Linked DNA regions of Oreochromis niloticus. The protein of the gene in region 3 binds, or shares a complex with, the protein of the main gene of each other region. Links are inferred from orthologs where the notes say so. Each region holds a gene or a part of one and is shown on either strand. Other genes may lie near its edges. The genes, in order: ints4, ints7, ints1 and ints2.

Region 1 (6,988 bases), on a different chromosome or scaffold from region 3:
GAGAACATACATAGCCTTGGGCTAAATATAAAGTCGTCACACCTGGAAGTTTCATGAAGGTTTCTGCACTTCAGCAGAGACAGTTCTTACACACAGCAGTTAGGATTTGTCTTTTCACACATCAGTTGTGGTTTCTGATCCAGAGAGCGGAACAAACTCAACAGCTACACTGACTGAAACGGAGTATGAGAATCTGGGTCTCCTCACCTCTCTGGGTACAGCTGACTGAGCACCCAAACCATCTGCACTGCTGCAGAACGGACCTGCTCGTAGTCATCTGTGAGCAGCCTGCAGGCCTGCAAACACACATGAATACATACAGAAGGTTGGATTAAACATCCAAAGCTATAGTGAGAGTGCAATAAGCTGTGAGGACGTATTCTGCTTGTACCTGATCATAAATAATCTGATGAATCTTCATCCCTCTCTCATGTAGCTGCAGCTGGAAAACAAACAACAGCACAGAGAGCGAGCAGAGTTACTGAAACTTGAAAAGAGAGTGGGTTGTTTTCCTTAAAGCTCACTGTGCGTGGTTTCTAAACACATGAGTGTAGTGCTGGTTGCAGTGCAGGGGGGGTTGCAGGGTTTTCCTACCATGGCTTTGAGGGCTGCAGTGCGGACTCTGGGGTCTTGGTCTCCAAAGTAGTCGCTGATAATGCTTTGGACATCCCTCAATCCTCCTGGAGGTAAAATAGCAGGCCGCCATAAAAACCATCACACAGCAACACAAAGCACAATAAATAATGACACATAAATACGATATGAGGATGAAACTAAAGACATCAAATTTAGATACAGAAGGATGGATTGATGGATTTACCTCTCTGTATTTTCAACATTTTAAGCTTTAGAGAAAATATAATAAATATATAACTATGTATACAAACCTAAGGATGTGCCCGGGCCCTCGTTTTCTTTTCCTACAGGAGCGTCCACCATGCCGAGACATCCCAGGAGCTGTAGGCACTTATTCCTCACCCCAAAATACGTATCAGAGAGATGCTAAGAGGAGAGAAGAGAAATGAGGAGGACATTTACTGGTTTGTGAAGAAAGTCCTGTTGAGTTTGTAATGACGACTTCTGTGTATGGACCCTGAATAAGTGCTTGTTTGTGTCACCTTGTAGGCCACCTCTACGAGCCTCAGTCTGAGTGCAGGACTCTCGGGCAGCTGCGTACCAATGACCAGCAGAGTGTCCAGCAGCTGGGCGAGAACTTGATGGGACTCTGAACACACAAAGAAACAAAACAGTTTACTATGAACGTTTCTCTGAGTTTTGGAGATAGATAAATCTTAGATATGTTCAGATATGTCGTACTCTCATTGCTGAGCGTGTTAATGGCATCGTCAACGATGCAGTCGGGGCTGAAGCCCTGCGTTTTAGAGAGCAGGCCGAGCAGAGAGGCAATCTTCAGCCTCACAGAGTTATCCGTCTCCTGGAAGAAAGAATCATCATCATTAGAAGTTTGACTTTTTTTTAGGACACTAGAAATTCTGGTTTTATCAACTCTATTTTAAAAAAAAGGAGAAAAAAATATCAAGTACTGTATTTTATTATTATGGTCGTGGTTACCACCCACAACTCTTTACCTTGTAGTAATGCTCCAGCAGGATCCTGACCACACCCTCCACGCTCTCTGCCTCCACAGGTTTGCGTGCAAACTGCAGCAGGTACTGCAGGGCATCGGTGGAGTTGGTGGCTTTACAGAGGTCAATGTGGAGAGCGGCAGACTTACTGGGTTTGGACAGACGCAGCTTTTTGGCTGGAGTTTCTTCATGTGGAATCTGTAAGTGCAAAAACAGTTGTAACTACAAAATGCATCTAATCTGTAATCTCCTGATATATAATCATCTATTCTTTTTGATCATATATACTAAGAGCTACTGTCCATTTATCCATGTTCTCCTCTGTTGTTTTTGTTCTTTTAATCCAGGTCACAGGGGCAGCAGTCTAAGCTGGGATACCCAGACCTCTTTCTACTTTCACCTCCTCCAGGTCTTCTGGGGGGTACTGAGGTGTTTCCAAGCCTGGGTGTTCCCAGGGGTCTCCCCCAAGTTATACATGCCTGAAACATCTCACCCAGAAGGCGTACTAAAGCTTTCCCAGTAAGAAGCTCAAACCATCGCGTGGCCTCGGACCTGGAGGTGCCAGCTCTCATCACACTAACAACAAACTGCCCCACTGTGAGCTGGATGTTGTTGCTTAGTGAAGCCACAAGATCCACAAAAACGAATGACATGACGCATAAACGGCTAATAACAGCACTGCTTCGAACAGCTATCACAGTTTCCTCTTACTTTGGCTAAAAATCCTCTCTGAGAGGAGCCAAATGTTCCTCTGTGCAGGAAAAACGCAGAACATGCGAATGAGCTCAGTTAGCGGATGAATGATTGACATTAATGCTAAATCGGATGTAAACAAGTCGGTTTCTTTTTGAGCTTTCAAAGCGTAAAATGCCGCTGTCAGTGGATACTGTGCTCAACATGCCGCAAACCAACAGACAGCAGCTCAAATAAAATGTTTAAAGTTCAAATCCTGTCAAGTCATGAAGGCTTTTTGAAATTAACAGCAGCTTTCTTAGTCAGTCTGAGGCTGTTAGCTCTCGGGTTCATTTTGTTACAGAAGAACTTCAATTTTTAATGCATTAAATAAAATCTAAGAATACAAACACTAAACAGAATACAAGTTTAGTGCTTTTCCTCTGCACTAAACTCTCAGAGGATCCATGTTGTGTTGTGACTGTGAGCGGCTACATTTTAGCATTAGCTAACACGGTACTTGGCGCAGAATGGTAACATTTTGCGATTTTTTTAACCTTTAAACTCTAAGTTTACAACAGCTGACGAGACGGTTATAATGCGCTCACCTGTACAACTTTGGAAAATTCCTCATAAACTCGCTTTTTCAGATGTGCTGCCATGTTTATGAACACACAGTTAGCTAAGCGTTTCCATTCAGCAGCAGGATAAATTGTCCCTTTACAGTTTCCGTAACTTCCTGATATTGTCCATGTCCGCTACATCGATCTTTTAATTATTATTTTGGATATTAATATTTATATATACTTTCATTTTGTTTATTTTTATAGGTTTATGTCAGATTTAATATACAAAAATATTTTCTTTCTTTTTCACTAAACACCTTTTCACCTTTTCAAGCATAAGACAGCCTCTAAGTCAAGGGAGAAACTAATATTATGTCTACACGTAACAGGCAACTTAGCAGAAGAAGCTCTTTTAAGTTGATACTTTAGGCACTTAGCTACAATTAGGCACATTTCAACATAATGTGCAGTGTGTCTCTAACATTTGGAGGAAATTTGACAGATGGAGGTCAAGAGAGAGGTACAGCAGAGGGTCTCTACAAGAGGCTCTGTTGTGGTCTGGGTCCTGTGATGGTGGGGAACTTGTTAAAACTTAGATTCTGATTAGGAATCCAATACAATCTGGAAAGACTCAGCATCACTGTAGCAGTGTGAGATCATCTTGATAGAAACCAGAACAAACGGCAGCAGACATCCAAAGAAGAGCTTTAAAGAAGCCTGGAGGATTATTCCTGAAGACCACTTAAAGAAATTACAAGACAGCGGTGAAAGAGAGTTCAGGCTGTGCTGATGAATAAAGGTGATCATGCCAAATATGGACTTTTCAAACTTGTTAGAATTGTACTCTTTTTTTTTTCCTATTTGTTTGGTATATATGCATATTTCAGTGAATCACTGCACGTATTTACTATTTTTCTATTTAAGCAAATGTGAGTAATGAGGTTTGGGTGATCTATTATTTGTTTTAGCTTTGTAATACTTTGTAGCTGTGTAATGCAGTGAAGCGATGACCTTGCATCTTCGCACACTTTTAGCGATTTCAGACAATTACAACCCCAATGTCAACAAAGTTTGGATGCTGTGTAAAATGTAAATAAAGCACAATGCAATTATTTTCAGATCTCATAAACCAACATTTTATTCAACATACAACACCAAAACATTAACATTAGCTCATTTTGAATTTGACGGCAGCAACACATCTGAGAAAAGTTGGGACAACAAAGGCTGGAAAAGTAAGTGGTACTAAAAAGCATCAGCTGACATTTCACAGCTAATTGTGTTAATTAACTACAGGTCAGTAACATGACCAGGTATAAAAAGAGCGCTTTAGAGGTAATGATGGACAGAGGTTCACCAAGCTCCAAAAACTGTGTCTACAAATTGTGGAAACTTTTCAAAATAATGTTTACCATTGTAAAATTGTAAAGACTTTCAATATATCATCATCTACAGAACATAATATCATTAAAAGAGTCCAAAAATCTGGGAAATTACTGTGTGCAAGGGACAAGCATGATTCTGCCACAGAAATCAGTGCATGGGCATTCCAAGTAAAACTCTGAGGAATCACTGTCTGTGAGCACAGCTCATCGTGCCAGCTACAAACGCAGATTCAAGCTCTGTCATGCAAAGTGTACATGATCCAAAAACACCAACGTCTTCTTTGGACCAAAGCTCAAAGATTTTAAATTGACTGAGGCAAAGTGGAAGACTGTTCTGTGGTCAGACGAATTGAAATTTGAAATTACTTTTTAAAAAAAAAATAACTGTAGAGTCTTCCAGACTAATGAGACGAGTGACCGTCCGACTCATTGGCGTAACATTGTGCTGAACATTGGGGGGGGGGGGGGGGGGGGTCAAGATCACTGTCTGAATAAATAAATAAATCTGGGTAAATTCCCAGATGATTTTGCTGGTAATACCTGAAATCTGTAAAGAAAATCAACAGCCTATTTATGCAAGATAATTAATAATTTTCATATAATTCATATAACCCCCCAAATTTCATAATTTGCATAATTTCCTACCCCCCCCCCTGGAAATTACGCCCCTGGTCCGACTTACCAGTGCACAGTTCAAAAACCTGCATCTCTGACTGCATGGGCATGCATTGGTGCCTGTGGAATGGACAGCTTGCAAATGTACCATCAATGCTGAAAGATTTATACAGGCTTTAAAACAATGTAACATAGCAACACATCGCATCCAGGCAACGTCTTTTTCACATTTAAACAGTGCAATAAAAACAAATTTAACAAACCAAACAAACAAAGAACTAAAAAGCAAACAAGAACCTTTTTTTTGCATTAAAATTTTTCACAAATTATTAATAAAATATGCCATTAATAATACAATACTGCAACATAACTGTAGTAATATTCTCATACTGGATCCATGAGGATGTCATGATTGAAAAGGGGCCAGAGAAGTTAAAATAGTACAAAAATCCTGCAGTGATGGACGCTCAGTTGATCTCGTGGAGCATGAAGGATTCTGCTGATGCTTTGGCCCTCTCGCGGTCCGACTTCCACGTGAAGAATGCCACTATGGTCACCATGATCGGGAGGGCCACACAGAGCACGATGCGGCTGATGGGCAGCTTCACCTGACACATTGCCGTGACCGAAGGATTCAGGCTGTCATCATCATTATTTTGGAACAAAAAGGCAGACCTGAAGTCCAGAAACACGGCTCTGCTGCTTTCTGTGGTGTTCACCAGGCACCTCCACCTCCTGTTGTTGTCTTCCTTCTGGAGTTTTGTCACCAGAGTGATGTTGCAGCGAGTGTGGCCGTTCAGGTTGTACCTGCACAGAGGTGAAATGGACAGAGAAACATCACACAGCTGTCGTTCATCACCAGTGTTCACCTGAACATTTCTGCTCTTATTTTTGGTCTGAGACAATAATTTAATTTGACTTACATTTTCTTTTATAATGTAAAATATAAGTTTATAATTCTGGTTGTTTTTTAATTCAGTCTTTATCTCATATACTCATTTTGTGTATTTTGCTGTGTATACGTGTCTGTATTACATCATCGTCTACCTAATTACTGCTCAGATACTCTCACAATTTAGATTTTTTAATAACAGAAAATATTTTCTTCCTTAGATAAAGAACAAATAGATTTTTTACTTTTTCTCGTATTTTATATTTAATGGTATTAGCTGTTTTTAAATGATTAAACTAAAAATGTTTGCGCTGATCTTTGTTATCTGTTAAGATGATTTATTGCAATACAGCACAACATGTGTTATGGGTTATTTATAGCAATAGTCTTTATGATTAACAGAAATAAGTTAAAGTGACCTAAAAAAACAACCTGCTGTTGTTGGGCAGCTTTCTCCCATCCTCATCCACCCAGCTCAGGCCGAACACGCTCTTTGAGTATGACTTGCAGCTCCCTGCGTCATAATAAGTGAAGAAGATGCAGGTCAGGGTGAGGATTCCTCCAGGCTGGAGGTCGGTGAAGGTGGAGAAAGACGAGATTGTGAGGAGGGAGAGGTAAACGTCAGTGACAGGCTGGTCGTTCTTCAGGCAGACGTAGGATCCAGCGTCCCGCACCCTGAGGTTGCGGAGGCTGATGGAGCAGTTGGATGTGAAGGTCATACGGCTGGATTTGTCTGAATCGGCCGTCACCTTCCCATTGACCACCTCGTGGACGAACCGCACGTCCGTGCCTTTGTTAAAGAAGGTCCAGGAGATGGCGGAGCAGTCTGAGGACGCCATGCATGGAAGAAGAGCGTCTCCTCCAACTGTGCTGTACATAAACACATTCTTTTTGCACCTCGCACCTGTCACCGAGAGATTTTTTATTTAAATAAATCTGATTAAACTTTCATATACTCAGACATGAAAGATCTAAAAGGAGCAATTTAGCATCCAGTAATATTCAAACATCTGTGCTCTTTAATATGGTCTTACAGTACAGTCCAACTTTGTAGTCTGTAATTTTCATTTAAAAAAATGATACGACAAAAAAACAAAACAAAGGAAAAGTAAAAAAAAAAGTCAATCAATTGCTCGGCTACAGTTCAGAACTACAGATCTGCATCAAAGATTAAGAACAGACATAAAAGTCAGAGTTATAAATAGGTAACAAATAACAATGAATAAAATGAAATTTCAAATCTTTTAAATGCAAATTTTAATTAATAAGTTA
Region 2 (7,099 bases), on a different chromosome or scaffold from region 3:
CTACCTGAGTGTTTTCTCTTATCCACAGGTGAGGAGCCTTTTTAGCCAGGAGCTTTAAATCGTTAACTGCAAGTCTCTTCACAGCTTTTCTCGGATCATCTTTTAGGTACTGAAGGAGGAGCTGCAGCTGCAAACAGATTAGGAACCAAATCAGAGGTGCACCACAACAAACTAAAAGAAATGACACATAGCTGTGTGCGAGCAAGTTGGGTCTACCTGCTTGGGGATATCTATGAGGGAAGAGGCGGCCAGCTGGGTGAAAGTATGCAGGGAGACAATGACCATGGGGGTGGAAGGATAAGAGTTCACCAGATGCTGTAAAAGCTCTCTGCTGCTGGACGCCAGGCTGGCGTCATGATGCATGTGCTGCAGCATGGGGATCAACTTCAGCTTCAGTTCCACAGGAGTGTCTAAACCTGAGGTGGAAGAAAAGACCAATACAAACATTATGTAAAAGATGCAGTGCACGTGACAAATGTTTTCTTTGGGTTCAGCAAAATGTGTATTTGCAGTGTTTTGTGTTTCTTTTTCTCCGTGATTTCAGAATGAAAAAAAGAATAATTTTAATGGCTGTACTCAGTTTAGTGTGACAATTAAAAATAAAAGACATCAGTGACAATGAAGCTTTGAACCACGACAGCTCTCGTTTATCTTCACGTAAAGAATAAAGATCTTACCTTGAATCATCTCACTAACTTTGTTGCAAATTCCAGCTGCAAAGTCTCTGAAAATAAAAAATAAAAATTAATTAAAAAGCCACACAACAATAAAATCATCTAAAACATCATCCCATACATCAGAGCTCACTTTTAGTCATTGTTTCCTTACTTTGACTGTGCAGAGAAGCTTGCAGCAGCAAAGATGGCTGCCTCGACTTCCACATTGTCATGAGAGTCCAGGCTTTGGCGAATAGTGTGGTGGGCATTCTTCCTCTCTGGGATGATGGAGGCCAAACTACCAAGCATCCTGAACACATAAGACAGCAGGAATTTTCTTTTTAAAAATCTGAGATGACTGAAAAGATGGTGCACAACAAAACTGAAGAAGATAGTGCAGACAGGGTGGAGTGGATGGAGACTAGTATTGGGGTGATTTGTGACAGAAGGATAACAGCAAGAGTGAAGCAGAAGTTTTGCAAGATGTTAGTGAGATCTGCTAACATGTATGATGAAGATGTTACGATTCTTACAGAGAATGCACAGGATAGGAAAGAAGGGACAGCTCAGGTTGGGCATATTGGAGTAAAAGTTAGAGAGGCAAGGCTGAGATGTTTTGGACATGTGCAGAGGAATGACACTGGATACACTGCACAAAAGATGCCAAAGCCAGGCAAGAAGGCCACAAAGGAGGTTTGTAGATGTAGTGAAGGAGGACATGCAGAGGGTTGACAGAAGAGTGTGCTAGGGATAGGGTCAGATGCGCCACTCGCGTTTTTAATCATCATTTCACATTGTTACCTCAGAGTGATGGCTCTGGCCACAGGGTCATTACTGTGGATGACTGAAAACACCCGTTTCACAAACTCATCCACATTGAGAATCTTCTCCAAATGTTTCTCACTCTGTTGAGTCACTTTGAGTACACAGAGACGCAGAAAGTTGTTACTGGAAAAGAGAAATAAGATGTTTGTGGCACAGTAAAGCTCATCTTTAACTTCTCGCACCTTCTAAATACATCTTACCAACTTCAAAAACATTCTATTAAAAAGTGCATAAGATGCGCACATTTATTTATTTAGGCACTTTTGAATAAAATTAAAGTTTGAAAAATCCACTTAAGTAAGAATAGTTCTTATTCTTTCTTAAAGTGAAATAAATTCACTTTTTCCCCAAATCCTCTTATTTGGAACCTTCTCTCTCTCTTTTCCGTCAACTTTTTCCCTTTCTTTTTTTTCATGAAGAATAATTATAGTTTTTTTATTTTTAAAACCTTTCTCACACCAACATTTTTCCCTCTGTACTTACATCTATTCATACTTTTCTTAATTTTTTTTTTATTTTCTAAAGTAAAATAAAATACACAGATACTCCCTGAATATCTCACTACAGTTCAAACACAACACAATAACACATTAACAGGCCTGCCCTCAATGATCAGTTTACTGGGTATGCTTAGTTTAAAGTATCTTGTACTTTTAAAGATTGATAAACATCAAGTTCATTAGAGACATCAAAGACACGCAATTATTCATTAAATATAAGAAGAAAATCTATTATCTGTTATTTTTTGGTGTTTCAGAGTTTGTTTATTTTATTTTTGCATTAGCTTGGGAGTGATTATGTGAACTACATGAGTGTGCGAATAGTGTTTACATTTTCTTTTGACGGCTTAGGCTTGTGGTTAAACTGTACGCTCAATTACTTAGAGATGTTATTAAAATTTTCTCTACACTCTGAAATGCATTGGGATGCCTGTATTAGATTCAGCTATAAAGAAAGTGTGAAACAACTGTCAGTAAAGTAGCCTTTAACAAATAAATGATCATCTAAAGCAATCATACCCGAGCCTGAAGATGTCTGCTAGTTTTAAAAATGCAGAGTTGATGAGGATGGGAAATGGGTACTTCTGGAAGAGTTTGGGGAACAAAACCACAGCCTCACACTGCTCACCGAGCTTCCCCGACCGCAACCCTGAAAATAAAGTGGAAATGCTCCAGTCACAACAAAGCAGGAAGCTTCCACTTAACACATTACGAGGAAACGACACACCGGATCAGAACACAATCAATGAACCATATGCTAAGTCTTTAGCCAGCGAGCTAACACACCTTTGTCCAGCTCCATGAGAGCGGAGTTAGCGTCGAGCTCCTGTTCGCCATAACAAGCCTCTGACAGGAATGAGCGTGCGGTGGAGAGCGACATTACTGTGCAGTTTTTACCCCTTAAAAGAAGATACACTCATGAGATATTAGCATTTCACTGTTCAGGCGGTATTCAGGAAAACACTGAGGATACAGAGACAGAACATCCGGTCTGGAGATTGACTTTCACAATAAAACGCCAGTTGTCATGGTCGCGAGCTACCAAGCTGTTTTAGGGACTATTTATAAAATAGATTTACGTTAAATATCTACGTGAAATATGTATTAGTATATTATTCTAGTATCACCTTAGCATCAAATGATAGATTATGGATGAATCGGTAACACCATAATACTCTAAATAACAACAGTTACATTGGAGATATCATAGTCATGGTGACTTTTAAACCTTTGTTACTTTAGTGCTTCTGTTGAAAAGAACATTTTTACTTGTGATTTTCATAACTTTTGTTGCAGTCACAGATATTCATTTTCTAGTTCAACACTGCGCACAACCTGAAATTGTGTGTTGTCACACATACTTGCACCACTAAATGCACCATATACATGCAGCATTTGTTTGGCAGTGGTTGTATACAACAAAGTGTATTTACTAAACTAACAACTGTCTAACAGGATAAACATACTATGCAAAGAGGGGCTAGTTATTAGTTTAATCGTTTTAAAAAATATTTATTTATGCTGAAGGGGCGTCTCCTTCTCCAGTTATGGTGGGAAACTTTACAAAGAAAGCGGAAGCAGAAGCGCTCCTGCCCAGGAAGTCGCCGTTTCCACCAATGGTTGCGCGTAACGCAAGTTTAGCGGGGAATTCAGTCCTTCTGCTCGGACGATCTATTCGCGGGAAACAGTGTCCCGGCATCGGTAGGGAAAGCGGACCACCAGTAGCTAAACATCGAGGAAAACGTTACGTTTTTATACAAAAGCCTTAGGATCGAGTTGTGCTGCAGTGCAGGGATGCTTTTCCGCTCAGTGGTGGACAGAGGAGTGGGCAGACGGAGGCAGAATGGTGAGACAGGGATGGGTTTTTGGGGAGATCTGGGTTATCTGCACGGCCATGGCTGGGCTTTAGCTAGTCTACCATGGAAGATAATGCAGTCTAACATCTCTGCTTTATATTTGGAGGAGTCATGCTGCCAGGAGGGCTCCTAGAGTATCATTTGCACTTGCTTTTCTTTTGCGTTCAGTGTGGACTTTAACGTTTAACTCTACTTTCTTCGTGAATGTCTTTGTCGGGCTGTTCAGACTCCAACGGGTGGTAGATCAACAATATGTCCTGCCTTATACCTGTAGTACATATCAGGACAGTTTCTCACATTTTGATTGGCTTTGGTTTATACAACTCAAGAGCAAGTGAGAAGATGAGCGTGCCGATCTATGATCGTAGGTCACTTTATTAGGTACACCTGGCTAGCACTGGGTTGGACCCTCTTTTGTCTTCCATGCGTAGATTCAACAAGTTGGTTGAAGCGTCCCTCAGATATTTTGATCCATATTGACGTGATGGCATCACACGGTTTCTGCATATTTGTCGACTGTACGTCAACGATGCAATGTCCTGTTTTACCACATCCCAATGGCTTGAGATCTGGCGTCTGTGGAGGCCATTTGAGTACAGTGTGCTCATCGTCATGTTCAAGAAACCAGTCTGAGAGGAAGTGAGCTCCGTGACATGGTGTTATCCTGCTGAAAGCAGCCATTACAGCCATTAGACAAGGGTGTCACGTAGTAAAAGGTCACGTATAGATAAAATTGAAGTAGGCCAAGCTGCTGCAGACTACCAGACTAATGGAAAGTGGGAAGATGTTTGAGTATATTATGAAAATTTTAAGGATATGTATATAAAATATGAGCCTCACTGTTACCAGTCTAAATTCATTACACATACAGGTGATTATAGTAAATGGTCCCAAAAGAAAAAAACCTCAAAATCTTCTGGTAATTCAAAGAATACATCCTATTTTTTCCTGTTAAATAAAATAGGAACTTGCCCATTGATTCGTTTATAATGAAAACCCAGCTAATTTTCTGTTTTCTATTCATTTATTTTATTTTTAATGGTGTCTAGTGCTTATTTTGGTATAGTATAGCAGGTCAGGGGTGATTTGTTTGTTACTAAGAAGGCTGTAAAAATGACAATGAGTCAAATCTCTGGACCGTCAGTTTGGACTCTCGTGGCGTGATCGGTTCACAAGTACAAACCGAAAATCCACATTTAGGCATTCTTTGACATTTTTACACGGGCCGGTTGTGGCCCCTGGGCTGTATGTTTGACACCCCTGCATTAGAAGATCGGTACACCGTGTTCATAAAAGATGGTCAGCAACAACAACATGATACTCAGTGTGCCAAGAAAATACCCCCCACGTCATTACACCACCAGCAGCCTGAACTGTCGATACAAGGCAGGATGGATCCATGCTTTCATGCTGTTTACATCAAATTCTGAACTTATTATCCAAACATCACCGCAGAAATCGAGACTTTTCAGACTAGACAATGTTTTTCCAGTGTTCTGTTGTCCAATTTTGTTGATCCAGTGTGAATAGCAGCCTCAGGATCCTGTTCTTGGCCTACAGGAGCGGCAGCTGGTGTAGTCTTCTTCTGCAATGACTCCAAGGTTCAATGTGTTGCATGCTCAGAGATGCTCTTCTGCATATCTTAATTGTAACAAGTGGTTATTTGAGTTACAGTTGCCTTAATATCAGCTCAAAGCAGTTTGATGATTGTCCACTTAAATCTGCAATGATTTTTCCGTTAGTTTTACTGCTGTGTCTCATTGATTTCCCTCCTCTGACCATGCATCATTCTCTTCAGCTCTCCCTGCAGATCCCTGGTCCAGGTACCCTCTGAGCTCCCTGCTTGAAGGCTACCGATGTGTCCGACATGATGAACATATCTCCTATGGGAACTTTGGCGACTCTGTGCCACCGTTTGGATTAGCTTTCTCCTCTGGTAATTCATTTGTGCTTATCATTGTGAGTGCAAGGACCTGTTATCATTAATCTGTCTAACTGCAGTGTCTCGTTTCTGCTGTTTGTTTTCAGCCAGGGACCAGCAGAACATCCTCGCAGTAGCTAATGAAGAAGGCATTGTTAGGTTCTACAACACAGAGAGCCGTAAATATCCACTTCTTAAAGGTATTCTTTTGACTTGTGTTCATAATTGTCATGTCATGTATTTTGAAATGTCGGTGGCTAAATGTGTGTGAACCTTGCAGCATGGCTGGCTCATGAGAATGCTGTCTTTGATATCGCCTGGATGCCAGGGGAGGCTCAGTTAGTAAGTGCAAATTTATTCTGTTTAGTCAGAGAATTGCAGAAAGTCAGATCTTTATGCGTCACCCTCAAATGCATGACTCATGTAATTCCATCTACCTTACTAATTTTTCTTTTTGTTCTTTATTTTGTTGGAACTCATTAAAAACTCTGAAGCCTTTTCTTATTATGCTTTGGTCATCTGTGATCTCTTCAGGTAACTGCTGCGGGTGACCAGATGGCCAGGCTCTGGGATGTGAAGTCTGGAGAGTTGTTAGGCAGCTTCAAGGGCCACCTCTGCAGTCTTAAGTCTGTTGCATTTGCACCAGAGGAGAAAGGTATACCTTTTACTGAGCTAACACCGTGTTGGTTGTGCATTGATGATATATTGTTGTATCATGTGATTAATACATTTTCTTTTGTCACACAGCTGTGTTTTCCACTGGAGCCAGAGATGGAAATATTATGGTCTGGGACATGAGATGCAGCAAAAAAGGTATTGATCAGAACAATAATAGTGAATTTAGCAATAAATTTTAAATCATATCTTTAGCCACTTTGTTACTAGCAGCCTGTAGCAAAAACACTTAATTTTTTCCTGTTTCTTTAGTTGAATTTATGAAAAATGCCACGACCACTCAGTTTGAAAGGCATAAAATAGTACTTTTGCACCACCAAGGTGTTTCCCAAAGAACCATTAGCCTGAAAACCTGGGTGTATTTTGGCATTGTGTGCAGTGTGTCCTTCAAAGAAAGCCCTTTAGTTGATCCGTCTGCTGTTAACTGAAGCCTCATCAACATCGGTCTCAGGCTGTTCTTAAGAAAGGGAGCAGGGAGAAAAGTCTGGGGTATGCTAACTCACACAAAAACTGGACTGAAAATCAGTAACTGTTAAACGGACTCGTTCTTATAAAGCGCATTTCTACTCTGAGCACTCAAAGCACTTTTGTGCAACTTGCCTCATTTACTCATTTACACCTATTCATACAAGCACTTTTTTTCTATGCCTTTCCCATGTAAGTGCT
Region 3 (7,379 bases):
TCTAGTTTTACCTTTGGAGCTTGCTCTGGGCTGTGCTGCAGCACTGTATGGAGGACTTGCATGTTGTTGGGATTCCGGGCATTAGACAGCTCATTAAAGATCACGAGCTTCACCATAGTTCCCAGGTTGTCTCTGTGTGCATTTAGTAGCTCCCTGCAAAGATACACGCAAAGCTCCAGTTAGTGTGAATTACTGACTGTGATGACAAAATAGACGTGTGACAATAAGAACAACTTTACAGACCTGACACATAGCATGTAATGATTAAGCAGAACTTTGGGTTTGAGTCGGATCTTGATCAGGTTGGAGATAACCTCCATGTCATCTGCTCCGTGCGTGTTGCAGTTCATGCACAAAGACATCAGGAGGTCCTGAGCAGGGCGAGTCAACTGCAACCACAAAAAAAGCAAGTTAATGCTTAGTGACCTACTTTTAATGTATTGCAATATTTGTATCTTTAGAGGCCACATTTCACCTTTTATTTACACAAATCCTGCAACATATTATTAGTACAACTATATAACACTATGGATTTATTTAACACAGTCAGTATCAAATGTTTCACCTTTGGGTTCTGGAGCCACATCTCCAGCCTTTGCACCGCCATGAGTCTTGCCTCTTTGTAGCCACATGTGGCTGTGAGCAAACGCAACAGGTTTCGGGACACATTGTCCATCGGCTGCCTGCGGTTCAACTGATCCCTGAGGACATCAAGCACATAGTCCTCCACACTCTCTGCAAGTTCGTCATACCTACAAGTTTCCAATGAATAAGAACAATAAACACAAAATGATCAAGGAGCTCAATGCATTGTTTCAATCATTTTTCATTGTTCAATTGTGAAAATTTAACCGCTTTACCTATATATGCTGTAAATCTGAACACACAGACTGTACGCTATGGCTGTCACATTTATGTTGGTAGCTTTCATACCTTGGCATAACCTGCCCTTCATCCTCAGGGCTGAGTTTCTCCTCAGCTATCAGCAATTCAGTCTGGCTGTCATCCTCATCTGGGGTTGATGGATGAGGGCTGCTACCTAAAGATCAAAAGCAGCATGACCAATCAGCACTTGTTTCTGACATCAGTAATCCTGACTTGCAGAAACCTGAATGTACCATACCTGCACTCAGATCTCCAGCAGAGCGGCCTGTATCAGCCTGGAGCAGCATACTCTTTGGGGGCATTTTCGTTCCAAAAGCAGTCTGAATGTTGTCAACAAAATTCTTACAGTGAGAGCTGTCCACCCAGATTCTTTCACCCAGAGAGTCCTCAATGTAAACCTGAAAGTATACGTCAGAAGGACAAATTATAAGAAGAGCTCATGCATGACAGAAATATGTTTGAGTTTTGTGGGCGTTCTCACTTTGACAAATATCTCTGGCCAGTTCTCGTCCTCCTCGTATGCTGCCATCAGCAGATTGCATGCCAGAACAGAGACCAGGCTGTTGCCTTTTGCTTTAAAGTTGATGGAAGCATCCCTACGCAGGAGGCTGCACAAGGCCTAGTGACACAAGTGTAACACATGGAAAGTAACAAAGATTTTGTCAAATCATTGAGGTTCACTTGGCAAAATATTGCAATGCTGATATATTATACATTATTCATCTGTGTATATGTACTGAAGAATAACTGTGTTAAAAGAATTACCTCAATAATTCCCTCAGTTGCAAAAACATTGGGCTTGATTTTGGCCAGAAACATGAGGCTAAGGTAAAGTGTGATGTCGGGCTTGGCTCTGTTCATCTTGAGCTGTTTCACTGCTCCACACAGCAATCCCTCAATGCGATCGTCATTTCCTTCTGATTCAGCAGCTTCAATCTCATCCAGCAGCACTGCTGGAGAAACTGCCATATAGAAACATATTTTTTTAATTTCCTTGTCAGTTGTCACCTGAAGATTTTCTGACATTTCTATCTCAAATTTTACAACACTTCAGAAATGCACAGGCTTCAAAGTTACCTTCAATAGGTACTACTGATGGCTCCTTTATTGAGGGCGATATAGCCCTCTTGTCCACTGCAGCAACATCAGCGAGACGTCCAAGGGCACTGACAGGAGGGGTGGTGGATAGTTTGGGCCGCTTGGTTAGGTTGGCTAGCCCTGATGAGGATGGCAGAGTGGAGGAAGTCTCTCTCTTGCGGTCAGCAGGTAAACTTGTAGAGGTTGCCTTCAGGAGGACAGCAGGGGCTTTCGGCTCTCCTGCCTGGCTCTTAGAGCCCAGAGCAATGAAATCTCCTGTAGGGGGATGGCCTGCAAAAATGCAGATGTTACAATTTTAGTTTCTCCTGCCTTGGTGCTATTCAACATGGAACACACAGCTAAGATTGGATTTGGTTGCACAAGTAGTCCGACCTGATGGTTTCGCTGCACTGGGGCGCCTAAGAGTTGTAGGCTTCGGACGATTCATATTTACTGGTAGGCACAATTACAATCAAAGTAGAGCGGGAGACATGTATGTGTCGTATGTGTCATATGTGTAGCCTGTGTAGGACAAAACAATAAATAAACATGAAGTTAGTAACAACAGCAAAGGTAAAAGCCAGTAACAAATAGCAGTTTAAATCTCTCTAAATCTCTACAGCTAGTAAATCATTGCATAAGAAGACTAGCAAGAAGGATGTGTTCAATGCCGCTTAGCACTATAAAGGTTATTAATTACATGTTTACAACACACAAGACAAAAAATGCTAGGCTAACAACGAAAACTATGGCTAATATGACTAGTAGCACGACGTTAAACGTTAACACTGACAACTAACAGGCGTTAGGTTTCATTTAACTTAAATCAACCGTAAGTCGTTTGATTAATATGTTCAATAAAAGTCATACTGATTTGATACCTGGACGATATACTTCACACAAAAAAAGTCATTCACCGCCTCAAAGCTATCAGACAGACAGAGCCGTTGTGGCTTCTTTTTCTCGACTGAAATTACTCGATAACACCAACAAGTAACAAGTAACAAGCGCCACCAAGCGCCAGGGAGGATCATGTACAATCTACTTTGAGCGTCACCTCCTGCTCGTCGTGCTGTGTATATACACCAAGTTTGTATACGAACTTGCTCTCTTATCTCAACTTTTTATTATTAAGGCATTTCCAATCAGTTCAAAGTAAAATAGTTCGCCGTATCCTTAAATGTCTATGCAGCAAACCTTTGTGTTTAATGACTTTTACAGATTAAAATGGTTAACTCTTCCAATCATGGTGGAATTCTTATCTTTAACCCTCATGTGTAATATTTACGACAAAACTGCGCCATCACAGCTTTATGATTTTATTCCCCAGCTTCAGTACCAGTAGACGTGGTTTGCGGTAAAAAAAAAAAAAAGTTAAAAATCTAAAAATAAAAACTATATATGTCTAGCCAGTTTTATTTGCGGGGAAAAAACTTATCATTTAACCACATCTGCCTTGGTAGACATGACAAATCTTCTCCTTTGTGTAAAATTTTGTAACAAGTTTTTTTTTTAACCGGAAGTCGTATTATGTCATTGTTCCCGTAAGCTGACGAGCCAACGGTGATCGTCAGAGGGCGATAACGACATTATAGATTCATAATACATAACTGTTTCCATTAACTGTTAATATAACATAGCTAGTGTGTGTATAATGCTGCCACAGTACTATCTATGCTAATGTAATACACGTGAAAGGAAACGTGCTGTACACCACAGGGTTTGTACCACAGCAGAGGAACGTGTATATTTGTGTGTACTGTCATTGGTCAATACCATTGGTCAATACTTAATTTAAAACACCTTCCGGTCACCTCCAAAATAAAAAAAAACTTTTCTTTTCTTTTCTTTTTTTTAAAAAGCGAAGTAATTACGTGATATTACCAATTGGGGGCGCTAAAGATTCACATTTTTTTCTTCTACCTTTAGTGTTAATAACATGAAAATAAAAATAAACAAGAATGTGTTGATAAAAATGTTTTTGTATCAAAATTACTGATGTTAACGCATGTTATGAAAAATAAATATGTGTTAATTGAAATAGTCTATGGTAAAGTTAAGTTGAAATCAGTGTCACACAAACAGACAGAAATAATAATTTTACTACTGTCTACAGTATTTAAGTATATTTATATTTAAATATCTCTTTTTTTTTTCAATAGAATCTCTAAAATCTCTTTCTATTGGAGAAAAATATGAGAATAACAGCAATGTTTTATACTTGGACTCAGCTTTTTTGATGAGGTCTTTTCTAAAATCCCAAGTGAAAGATAAAGAAATGGCCAGCAGATGTCATCACTCCGACTCAAATGCTGCAAAACCGTGAATCATTTTAAGCAGTTACTGGCATTTGCTTAATGGGGTTCAGTCATTGCCTTGGAAAGCTTTTTCATCATCACTTGTGCCAGAGTCTGCAGATATTTTGCCATCTCATAATCATAGTCATCATTATTTCTGCACACTGTTCCTCACTACAGCTTTAGACTGGTCAAGCTTGAAAAAATACCCCTCTTCTTTATCATTTAACCTTCATTTTTAGTCTCCTTTGTGTTCCCTTGTGAAGTCGGAGGACAAAAAGGCAAGCATTGCATTTGAACTCTGAGTTTTAAGCACTTTATTATGAATTAAGAGACGAGATAGCTCTCGTCAATTCATTTGATTCACATCATGCGTTTAATTACTTTCATCCTTTGTGAAAATTAATTGAAAAAAATAAAATCCAAGCAAAACTTTGGCTGCTTTTAAGCTTAATAAAAGAACTGCATTTCGCTTTCAAAAACACCGCAGCCAAAGGTCTGGAATGAGATGCAGGTCAATCAGCTATTCTACTAAAATATGAAGATTAAATATTCTTCTGTGGAGGGATGCAGGTGCTTTTTTGCCCCATTTAGCAGAAATAACCATTTTAAGAGTTTTTGCATAATTGCTTACTATCTGGCACTGGGTGGTTGAAATTTTTTAACCACTCTTCTATCCAAAATTCCTTCAGTTGCCAGATAACCATAGGCGGGAGGGTTTTCAAACAGCAGTTCCTCTATCAAATCCTTTTTGAACTCTGGTCTTTAAGGCCATTCCATCACCTTACAGTTCTTACTTTTGAGTTATTCCAGAGTGGACTGGAGGTTAATTATTGCCTTGTTGAAATGTCCCTTTCTGATTCACTTTTCAGACAGGTAGCCTCATATTATATTCCAATAATCTTAGTTATGATGCAGAATTTATAGTTCAATGAATGATTGCCCAGCCCCCCAAGAGAAAGGAAGCAACCCCAGACCTTACCATTTCTGCCATTTCTTCATCTACTAAGCTCCCTGTGTGACAAACATGTCTACTGTTACTTTAACCAAAAATCTGCCTCTGATTTGTCTATCCAGAACAAATTATTCTAAAGCTCCCAGCCTTAGCCTGTTGGCAAAATGTATTTTACTCTTAAATTATTTGCTTTGAACATCAAAGTTTTTTCCCTGCCACATCTTCAGTACAGGGAGCCATCTCTTTCTGATTATCTAAACCTTTGCTTTGACAGCAACACTTGCATGAGCTACCTGCAGCTCCTCCAGTTAAAACTAGGGGTTTTGTCACTCTGGGGTTGGATTTGCTTTGGCAGCCGGTTCAGTAAAAACTGGCAGCCATCTAAAATCTACAGTTTTTACTGAGAGTGGAATTGTGGACCTAAAAAAATAATTAAAAAAAAAAGAGAGAACTTAAGATCGTGGCATGATGATTTCAAAGTGAAGCAGCAAACTCTAGATGGGTTTAATTAAGACAGGCTCCACTTGTCACTTTGCAAGCAGAGGCTTATTTTATGCTTATAGTGACTAAACTTTTCTGTATATAGTTACATTTGGAGAATTAACAGTGTTCATTTTGAGTGTTAATCTTCACTTTTTTTTTCAAATTTACAGCTATCAGTAGCTTTAGGGGAAAAAAAGGAGAGCATCAAAGCGTTACACTTTATAATGCCCATATTTAGTCCCGCCCATAGTCAGCAGCAGTGAATTGTTCATTCCTTAAGCATTGCTCAGCTGTGACAGGACTAAAAAAGAGAAATTACTCTGTCCTTCTCTCTGCTCTCTTGCTGTCTGCAAATTCCCAAACTCACTTTTTTTTTGCCATTTAAAGCGTAAAAGAGAACCTTGGTATTAGACTTTAAACAGTCCACCAGTGTTTGCTCCAGCTAGTACTGCCATCACTACCACTGTAACCTCACCATGTTCATTTCCATGCTGCTCTAAGCTGCCAGCTGGTTACGTAAAGTGTTTTCATATGAAACACATTTTGGTGAAGTCAGTGGAATGTTCAGTAAATGCTCCAAATTAAATCTTGTGTCACATGTGAAGTCTACAAATGTACAAAAAAAGCTGTTTTTTAGCTTTCGAAATTACGTACAGCTCAGACTGTGCCAGAGCTGGCTGTCTAATATGTCGGGTATTTTCAGCAAGTTGTGCCTGGACAATGTGGAAGGATCTAGTGGGAGGAAAACAGGATTATTATTATTTTTAATGCAGTGTGAGTTAATTGGCTGTGAGTTTAAAGTATCCTATAAATATCTTAAAACCATTCTTCTGCTAACAAATCATTTGGAGTATTTGGAAGAAAAGGAATGATCCCCTTACAACAGTGGGCCTCTTTGTACCAGATCAGATTTCTTAGGAGTTGAGAAGTCTGAGTCAGAAAGAACCCAGATTAGTGAGTCAATGTTACTTCCTGTAATTCAAAACTGCCCGCAAGAACCCAGACCCCACAGCACGTCGGTCTGACAAAAACCCCGGCAAGTCTGCTGCACATGGTTTTGCTGTTTTTGTTTTGTTTCACACATCGGGTGTATTTCAGGTCACCGGCATACGCTGCTGCCAGATGGACAGTAACTGAGGGTTATGCCATTGACTGAGCAGCTGGATGTCTGACTGGTGCAGAATATTCGCGGTGGTCCTGCAGAGACTCTCCAGTTTGATCTCTTTCTTTTCTCTGTCTGCACATTCTCTAGAAAACAAGCAATACAACAAACTTTTGTATTTTTTATTTACATTTTCTGCATTGTATCCCATCATCTTATTTCACTTAATATGTGATCCTGATTTACTTAAGCTCATCTTTAATACAGTCCAATAACAGTTATTCTAATAACTCATTTGGGTCTCGTCTCATCTATAATCTGTGATGTGATGCAAGTAACCTGTACAAAAAGAAGGTTACTCATCTGGTTTATTTGCTTTTTACTCGAAGCAGGTTCCAGCGCAGATGAAAGGACGGAGCCAACCATCCTTAGTAAACAATTGATTCCATATGTGATTCGGGGGAAAAGGTTGAACTGTTGAGTCATTTGCCATAAATGATGACATTCATTTTAAATCTATCCCAGTCTGCTTGTCTGGCATAAAGCCAGAGTAAAAAAAAAAGATTCGAAGGAATTAGTC
Region 4 (7,685 bases), on a different chromosome or scaffold from region 3:
AATGGATTCGTGTTCGTATTGTGTCTCTTCACTGACCCTTTCTCTCTCCTCTGTGCGTCCTCTCAGACTCGGTGTCGACAGGCTCGGTGTTTGGCCGCAGCACCACCTTAAACATGCAGACGTCGCAACTTAGCACGCCGCAGGACACTTCCTGCACCCACATCCTGGTCTTCCCCACCTCTGCCATCGTCCAGGTCGCCAGCTCCAATTACACCAACATCGACACCAACATCGACATTCTCAATCCCACCACTGGTCAGTTGTTCTCCTTTATCGGTCTTTCACTCAGCAGCTGTTTCTTGTTTGTCTCACAGCAATCACGCCTTTCAGTGCAGTTTGTTTCCAAATCCTCCCTGTTTACCTTTCTAGTAGTCATGGTTGCATACATTCTTTCTGCATCTATGGCAGCCTCAAGGGTCTTCAGCTTATTTCTTTTGTGAAAAATGCATTTGTTGGTCAGAAATAGAAGCCATATTTACAGTCACAATTTACATTACAGTGAATGGCACACTCACCCTCAAATCGCAGATCCTATTGAGCTGTTCTCTTCTCCACAGATGGCTCTGATGCTATAGGGATCTTGGCCCTGCTCGACCAGGAGAACGATTTAGTGGATCCAGACATCATCAACATCTCACCTACCACCTCCCCGGTACACTCCCCTGGCTCTCATTACCACCACGGAGGTGATGGCAGCAAGGTACAACATGTACATAACACACACACACACACACACACACACACACACACACACACACACACTGTGCAACATGACGCTTAAAAAGCAAAAAGTTCATCTCGAGTTTCCACCTCGTTGCAGGGTCAGAGTACCGATCGTATGGAGTCCCACGAAGAAGTTCCTAACCTCCTGCAGCAGCCTCTGGCACTCGGCTACTTTGTCTCCACGGCCAAAGCCGGCCCACTACCCGACTGGTTCTGGTCAGCCTGTCCGCAGGCTCAGAACCAGTGCCCACTCTTTCTCAAGGTACTACTTAAGAACGCTCTCGCATCTTTACTAGAGCTGTTCGATATGATGATATATATCTGATGACAATATGAAAACGTTTCATATTACGCTATCGTTTGTTTCATGGTGTCACAAAATAAACTGTTTACAGCAACAGTTTTTCATGGTTCTGATGGTCACTGTAGCGGTTATATGAATTTCTTAAAGTTCTCTCTTTCTCTTATATTTAAAATAACCACGCTACGGACGGATAAGCGACTGTTTTTATGTGTTGTCGTTAGCAACAATGACAGTAAACCCAGCGTGTGGCTCTGCCGTCCACTTGTTTATTTTCCACATAAACATTTCACAATAAAGCTGAAGATCCTGCTGAGATTTTTCAAAATAAACTGAAATGATGACAAACAGAAAGACCAGTCAAAACAAATCGAGGACCTTATTCCTAAACGAGGGGCTCCCTCTGTAGCATGGACATGGGTTGGTTATGAAAAGTCTGACACGGACCATAAAACTGTACTCTGCAAATTACGCAGAAAACCGGCCCCACCTCAGACTCGAACACGACAAACCTCTGCTACCACCTACACAAGATTCACGTGAAAGAGTGTGGAGAGAGTTTACGGAGAAGCAAAAAAAAGCCGCCAGGTGCTCCAAATAAACCTCAGACTCAAACGTTAGAACAGGCTTTTCCCCGCAGCACGCCACCTAATAAATACTCACAAAGAAAACGGCGGCTGTTACAACTTATGTCTAAAAATGTACAGCTTCATGCATCGGTCAAAACACCAGACTCCACGTGCACGACGCCCAGCTGGAAACATTTCACGCAAGTGGAGTTGCCCGAGATTCACAGAATTTACAGAAAATGTAACATTTGTGTGATTTATATCGTTGTTGGGACGATAAATGTCTTATATCAGGATATGAGACTTTGGTCATATCGCACAGCCCTTCTCCTTACCTTAGTGAATTTAAGTAGCCGTCCTGAACATTGTCACTCAAAGCCCAACACCAGTGTCCTGTGTGGTTTGCAACCCTGACCTTTTTTATCACCTGGCGGGTGTTCTACTAAAATGCACTGACACCTTTTTATGACAGAGCTCTGCGTGGCCATTATAAACAGTGCTGGTTGTTAATCCCGGTCTCAGCTGATTGCTTGGAAACCTCGCTGACTCCAGGAAGTCACCGCTCTGGCATAGACTTGGTTCACCACCCCATTAAACCACAACTATGTTGGAAATGCAGTAAATTTGTAAGACTGGTGAAGAATGTTGCTGCTTGAGCCAGTGTGATTGAAGCCTTGTGTGTAATCGCACACAATCAAAGTGTGTTGTGCTTATAATAAGGTAGTTCTGTTTTGTTTGCCTTTTTATCCATTGCTTCTGGAATTGGCTGCAGACTCACTGCTGTTACCATTCTGCTGTGAAAAGCTATCATTATTTAAATGACATGTAATGAAAGGTTGATAACTTCATTATAATGCTTCTGACACCACCTCTTCCCCCCCGTGCTTCCTCTCAGGCCTCTTTGCACCTCCATGTGTCTTCAGTGCAATCAGATGAACTGCTGCACAGCAAACACTCCCACCCCCTCGACTCCAATCAGACCTCAGATGTACTCAGGTAAACAACACCGGCACACACTCTGCATCAGGTCGAGTGCACAAATTACTATTACCACCCTGCTGACTGTGTTTCCAGGGTGAGTTTTCTATTTGTAGCCGATTTCAGACTGACGTTGGTTTGTGCACAATGCTGGCAAAAGTTGCCACATGTTTTAATGAAGCGGTGAAAACTGAAGCGTAACCGTTTTGTACGCCCGTGTTCCTCCACAGATTTGTGCTGGAGCAGTACAACGCCCTCTCCTGGCTGACATGTGACCCGGCTACGCAAGACCGACGATCGTGTCTACCAATTCACTTTGTGGTGCTCAACCAGATGTACAACTTCATCATGAACATGTTGTAAACATCGGGGCGTTACAGGAAGAAGGCAGCGGGGGTCATAATGAGTGAAAACCACTGTACGGAGCTGGATCCTGCACCAAGATGGGATTAGATGGTGTTCCAAGCCTAGCCAGTCCTTCTCCACCACGCCGCCCCCCGTGAGACTGGATATTCTGTCCCTGTGAATTAAAGACATGCACGTAGAGATAAGGGAATAAAAAAGAGGGGAAACTAGAAGCTGAATTGCATTCAATGAACGTGAAAGAATGACAGATTGGTTGTCATGTTATGTAGCGTGGCAGCACAGTCACTGGCCAGTCTGTATTGATGAGACAAGTTTATCTGTAAAGTTATCGGAAGAAAAGGGACATATTTGATCAAGGAAAAAAACCCAAGAATGGATCTTTGGTTTAAGACATGAAATTCCTTTTTATTCCTTTGGATGTAATTGTATCCAAACAAAATGCCTGCATTTATCTTATTTATTGTAAGTTTTTAAATGTATAATTTGTCTTATTTCTTAACCTCTTTTATATATAAAAAATGGAGAAGGTTTATATCACCTTCCTGCTTTAAAGCAATTGGTCTAAGATATATGTAATCGTCTTAATTAATAAAAACACCAGAGGAAAAAATCCCATAAAAATGAAAGTCCCAGTAGGTTGCTTTTAGAGTATTATTTTTTGTAATGGAGACAGAATATTTGTATTGTCACAATGTACAGAAGAATTAGAGTGGAGAATTATGTTTCATGCCTTTGAGCATGAAGACCTTACAGCAAAGCTGTAGCTACAGAGGACTTGTACAGCAATGAACTTCACTGTGTTCAAATAAAGAGGTACATTGTTGTATATAGTATTTTATACCACGCATTTAGACACAAAAACCAAACGGCAATATATATAAAATAATTCTATATGAATGCCATGCCAGCAGTTGGTGGTGTGGCTTCTGTTTTAGGAATAAAGTGCGTCAACTTATTTTCCTGTGCTTGTGTTTATTGCTTTGGGGAGGGGACTGATGTGCAATTGGACAAGGACACCGATAGTGGAGCGGAGTGACAACTATTGGCATCTCTTGGAAGTAGCTGACCTCAGGTTTAATCTTATTTCTGTTTTAATCCGTTTATTTTTCTTCGAGGAGAAAATGAAAGCAAGACTGTGAGAAGAGACATGCAGTGTCCTTTTCAGCACATCCCTTTATTGTAGCACACCTCTCCTTACTCCCATTGGCTGAGGTCTGCCTCCTGGCACCACTTCTGATTGGTTATGGACACATTTAGACCAGTCCCATTTTACTTCAGTGTGAAAGTAGATGTGTGGTGTAAATGAACTTTAACCAGCTACGGATGGCTGCCCGTTGGACATGCAGTGTTTGTGCAAAGAGAAACATGTTCTGTCTGGATGTTTCCTCCATAAACTGATGTTGCTCTTTATCTTTCATATTAGCCAGCGTCTGTTGGCCTGGAAAATTTGACCATTAAAATGTATTTGGTCTTATTTTGAGTGTAGATAAATACATTCAATATTTAATAAAACCTATGAAAGTTTATTTTGCCATGTTTTCTTTTTGGAAAATCATGGTTGTTTGCAGTAACCATCTGCGTCTAATATACAGTATCTCTGCAAGCTTGTTACCACACTATTCACATGTGGGAAAAGGCATTCGAATAACCACGCAGAGCCATTTGAGTGGGATATCTTGCTTGTAAATTGCTGAGTTGCCCCTGGGTGGCATGTAGTAGCAGCTGGCAGTTCATTCTTTGGATAATTTTCTGCATTTCCTCTCGCTGTCAGCAACAGAGGGATAAACGGGTCCTGCTCTCTGTTTTCCTTCACTTCTCACCAACTGCTGTCTGAATATTCTTCAAAATGTGGAATTTATACTGACACCAGAAAATGTTTGAGTAAGTACAAATCGAGATTAAATGGAGTTATAAAATGGCAGGAATCTAAAAGCCCTAAAATATCATCATCATAAGCGGTATTTGCAACACATTAGTGTAATCAAAATACTACATATTATTTTTTAACATTTCCACCAGTCTGACATAAGCTAGAATAAACGGTTTCCACAGTTGTCTGTCCGTAATAACATAGTCAAACTATAAAAAAAATTAAAACGTATCTAATTTAGCTGTAATTATGAAAGAATGGCAGTCCCCATCATATACACGCGCCTGTGATTTATCAGAGTGCTCGCAGCACGCGCAGGCTGGAGTACAGTCTGCAGACCGACCTCAGTCTTTGTTCGGTCATTGCTGCTTCACGGCACCCACGACATTAGTGCTTTTGCTTTCACAATATCCACAGTGTTCCCTGTGAGTAACGATGAGATTTAGGATAACTATAATGGAGTGAAAGTGCCAAACAGCGGCAAAGACATTTCCACAAACGTGCCGGCACAATCCAGGACAAGTTCCTCTGTTATTGGCTTAGGACTCTCCCAGATCGTGCGGCCGCGGGGGCTGACGGTACAGTCTGACGTCTGAAGGCCTCCGTGGTGATAACTGTTTCAAACAGTACGTGTCATCTTAATGAGCCAGGTAAGGGCGTTCTTGTGAATTCGTGTATTTATGTTACACTTCTGTATAGCTTAGACGGACCAGTCAACACAAGGTTGTCCTGTGACAAACTAGCCTAGCTTTTAGCTCTTAGCTTGCTAGCACTATGCTAAAAGTCTTTCCAGAAGCGAACGTACAACTGAATGAGTGTTAGCTACTGCTAGCTCATATGTAGCCTTAAAACATACTCAGCTACGAGTTCGAGCGATTTTAGCCGAATTGCTGGTGCTTTAAAAGGCATATATTAAAGATTTTTGAGGGTGAGCCCAGATAATATTTTCACAAGGAGCCAGAAAACACTAGTTCATGTATTACTCCCAGCAGTTGTTAGCATTTGCTTTAGTTAGTGGCTATAACCGGCAGTTATCTTGTTTCTTTAGTGGCGTGTAACAGCTTTTGTTTGTAGTGACTAAACCTATGAACAAGTTATCAAACAAAAACATTACCATCAGCGTACAGGTTACTCTCGCGTTAAAAATGTATATCGAGGAATGAATGGTCACATTATGACAACCGTTAGCGCTGCAACTTAATAAAGTTTATGTACTGTTGAAAACAGACTAGTAGACTGTAGAAAAAAATGCATCCAGTTTTCCTCTTTAAACTGTCAGTTTTGTCTGTTTTCCCCAAGGTGTATGCACGGAGCGATGGGAGACAGTGCAGGGCTGCAGTTTGTCAGCTCCTATGCTTTTGAAGCCATGCAGAAGGTGGATGTAGTGCGCCTGGCTGCGTTAAGTGATCCGGAGCTGAGGCTGCTACTGCCCTGCTTGGTGAGGATGGCGTTATGTGCCCCCGCTGATCAGAGCCAGTCCTGGGCACAGGACAAGAAGCTAATCCTCCGCCTGCTCTCTGGGGTCGAAGCCGTCAACTCCATTGTAGCACTTTTGTCTGTTGACTTTCATGCCTTGGAGCAGGATGCACGGAAGGAGCAGCAGCTTAGGTATGACTTATTTTCACATGGTAACACTATACTGGCACAGTAGTGGGTTACAGGGTGGGAAAAACTGCTTATCAGGTCATACATATACAGCTATGTTTGTTACCGTGTTTAAAAAAAAAAAAAGCCTACTTGGAGTTCATTTTAGCAGTATACATAATGTACCGTCTCCTCTGCCAGGCACAAGGCAGGTGGCTCTAATGCAGAGAGCATCCTGGTGTCACAGCTGCAGCACGGCCTAACTCTGGAGTTTGAACACAGTGATCCCCTCAGGAGACTCCGTCTGACCCTCAGTGAGCTCCTGGCTATCATGAACAAGGTACAGTCAAAGCTCTACTTATAATTCAGTAAATCTCTGGACACTGACGATGATGATGATAACTGAGCATTCGCATTGTAGAAGTGTGGAACAAACATCTGACCTGGGACAGATGTGTATATGTAAAGAAATGGAAGTGTGAATCATATTAATGAGTGTCACCTGTGGACTACAGAAACAAGATTGTGCTGCTTTCTTTAATTCTTCGTTAAATTTGAAATTTCTATCAGAATTACCCCTAAATCTCTGCCAGCTGCTCTCGCTTGGACTGAAATTAACTGCGTCTCAGTGCTGCTGTTGTCCTTTAGTAGATCCATCTTCATCTAATAGGGTGAGCTGGGTGATGCGTCCCTGTGGCCTGTTTCACATTCCCGTGTTGTTTCTCAGGTGGCAGACTCAAATGGAGAGTTTTTCTTAAAGTCTTCTGAACTCTTTGAAAGTCCCGTGTACTTGGAAGAGGTTGCGGATGTCCTCTGCATTTTACAAGCAGGTAAAACAAAGTCCTTTTGTTTGCAGGTACATTACAATAGCATTGCATTTAATGCAGCAACATTTATAGATAAGTATGAAAGGGAGCCCTCTTACTGCAAGTAATAGATGATATGTTAGTGGTTTATATATTATTCACATAACAGAATTCAGAGCAGAGAGAACCTGGTGAAGAGACAAACTTTAGACCTCACAACCCCAATACAGTATGGTTGTTTTTTTACATTTTTCCACACAGCCAAAGCACAGCATAGAAAAAAGTAGATCTGCTTGCAGTCACCTCTTAAACCACAACAGGAACGTGGCAAAGTGTTAAAAACATGCTGAAGCTCAAACACCAGTTGTTTACAGCACTTTGTCATGTAGCTGATTTCTGCTTGAAGAGGAGTCTGTAGCCAGCCACTCCCATCTCCTCCCAGCTTTGTCTTTTTCTTGTAAAAGGCAGTGACTTGCTTTTTGATAAAT

Evidence for each region.
Region 1: ints1 (region 3) and ints4 share a complex: the UniProt entries of both Homo sapiens proteins name them as parts of the integrator complex. The link is inferred for Oreochromis niloticus from reciprocal best matches to the Homo sapiens genes INTS1 and INTS4.
Region 2: the proteins of ints1 (region 3) and ints7 are in contact, whole or in part, in a cryo-EM structure (PDB 8RC4), measured with the Homo sapiens proteins. The link is inferred for Oreochromis niloticus from reciprocal best matches to the Homo sapiens genes INTS1 and INTS7. Residues at the interface, in NP_001073922.2 of Homo sapiens: Leu1378, Gln1381, Gln1382, Gly1385, Gln1386, Ala1389, His1429, Phe1430, Leu1431, Cys1433, Pro1434, Arg1437, Gln1438, Cys1440, Gln1441, Pro1476, Ala1479, Gln1480, Met1483, Leu1484, Gln1487, Arg1552, Pro1554, His1555, Leu1556, Glu1557, Glu1558, Pro1613, Ser1614, Gly1616; in NP_056249.1 of Homo sapiens: His150, Asp151, Leu187, Ala188, Thr189, Pro190, Val191, Lys194, Thr223, Ser224, Tyr225, Pro226, Ser227, Thr228, Asn262, Asp263, Pro264, Arg265, Lys266, Pro303, Tyr304, Gln349, Glu350, Cys352, Tyr353, His354, Asn355, Arg357, Ala360, Gln384.
Region 4: the proteins of ints1 (region 3) and ints2 are in contact, whole or in part, in a cryo-EM structure (PDB 8RC4), measured with the Homo sapiens proteins. The link is inferred for Oreochromis niloticus from reciprocal best matches to the Homo sapiens genes INTS1 and INTS2. Residues at the interface, in NP_001073922.2 of Homo sapiens: Gly561, Ile562, Ala563, Trp564, Asp565, Lys566, Gly567, Ser982, His1055, Met1056, Thr1058, Pro1060, Glu1095, Arg1096, Thr1098, Ile1099, His1102, Leu1107, Arg1225, Ser1250, Phe1251, Gly1252, Ile1253, Tyr1285, His1288, Glu1291, Val1292, Gln1293, Glu1295, Arg1296; in NP_065799.2 of Homo sapiens: Pro40, Leu54, Lys69, Leu72, Arg73, Leu75, Ser76, Gly77, Val78, Glu79, Val81, Asn82, Val85, Gly125, Thr127, Leu128, Glu131, His132, Glu166, Val172, Tyr173, Glu176, Arg322, Gln325, Gln326, Arg329, Gly400, Lys402, Thr769, Met772.

The regions. Positions count from the first base shown.
Region 1 is NC_031979.2:36,510,308-36,517,295, forward strand, and holds the start of ints4 (integrator complex subunit 4), read right to left. Parts: upstream 3,010-6,988; 5' UTR 2,921-3,009; coding exon 2,867-2,920; intron 1,785-2,866; coding exon 1,590-1,784; intron 1,436-1,589; coding exon 1,318-1,435; intron 1,226-1,317; coding exon 1,119-1,225; intron 1,003-1,118; coding exon 888-1,002; intron 681-887; coding exon 595-680; intron 443-594; coding exon 392-442; intron 297-391; coding exon 208-296; intron 1-207. Other genes in the region: uncharacterized protein LOC102082482, read right to left, coding at 5,292-5,631, 6,149-6,620. UniProt on the Homo sapiens protein: Component of the integrator complex, a multiprotein complex that terminates RNA polymerase II (Pol II) transcription in the promoter-proximal region of genes.
Region 2 is NC_031980.2:13,634,030-13,641,128, forward strand, and holds the start of ints7 (integrator complex subunit 7), read right to left. Parts: upstream 3,019-7,099; 5' UTR 2,862-3,018; coding exon 2,768-2,861; intron 2,631-2,767; coding exon 2,501-2,630; intron 1,605-2,500; coding exon 1,458-1,604; intron 967-1,457; coding exon 829-966; intron 725-828; coding exon 678-724; intron 417-677; coding exon 217-416; intron 128-216; coding exon 5-127; intron 1-4. Other genes in the region: dtl (denticleless protein homolog), read left to right, coding at 3,776-3,827, 5,636-5,773, 5,866-5,958, 6,039-6,100, 6,293-6,413, 6,506-6,571. UniProt on the Homo sapiens protein: Component of the integrator complex, a multiprotein complex that terminates RNA polymerase II (Pol II) transcription in the promoter-proximal region of genes.
Region 3 is NC_031969.2:25,398,536-25,405,914, forward strand, and holds the start of ints1 (integrator complex subunit 1), read right to left. Parts: upstream 3,005-7,379; 5' UTR 2,844-3,004; intron 2,485-2,843; 5' UTR 2,411-2,484; coding exon 2,356-2,410; intron 2,254-2,355; coding exon 1,963-2,253; intron 1,848-1,962; coding exon 1,651-1,847; intron 1,505-1,650; coding exon 1,367-1,504; intron 1,284-1,366; coding exon 1,124-1,283; intron 1,040-1,123; coding exon 934-1,039; intron 753-933; coding exon 566-752; intron 390-565; coding exon 244-389; intron 154-243; coding exon 12-153; intron 1-11. UniProt on the Homo sapiens protein: Component of the integrator complex, a multiprotein complex that terminates RNA polymerase II (Pol II) transcription in the promoter-proximal region of genes.
Region 4 is NC_031975.2:1,576,162-1,583,846, forward strand, and holds the start of ints2 (integrator complex subunit 2), read left to right. Parts: upstream 1-4,681; 5' UTR 4,682-4,810; coding exon 4,811-4,818; intron 4,819-5,101; exon of another isoform or gene 5,102-5,457; intron 5,458-5,537; exon of another isoform or gene 5,538-5,735; intron 5,736-6,106; coding exon 6,107-6,415; intron 6,416-6,592; coding exon 6,593-6,731; intron 6,732-7,118; coding exon 7,119-7,221; intron 7,222-7,685. UniProt on the Homo sapiens protein: Component of the integrator complex, a multiprotein complex that terminates RNA polymerase II (Pol II) transcription in the promoter-proximal region of genes.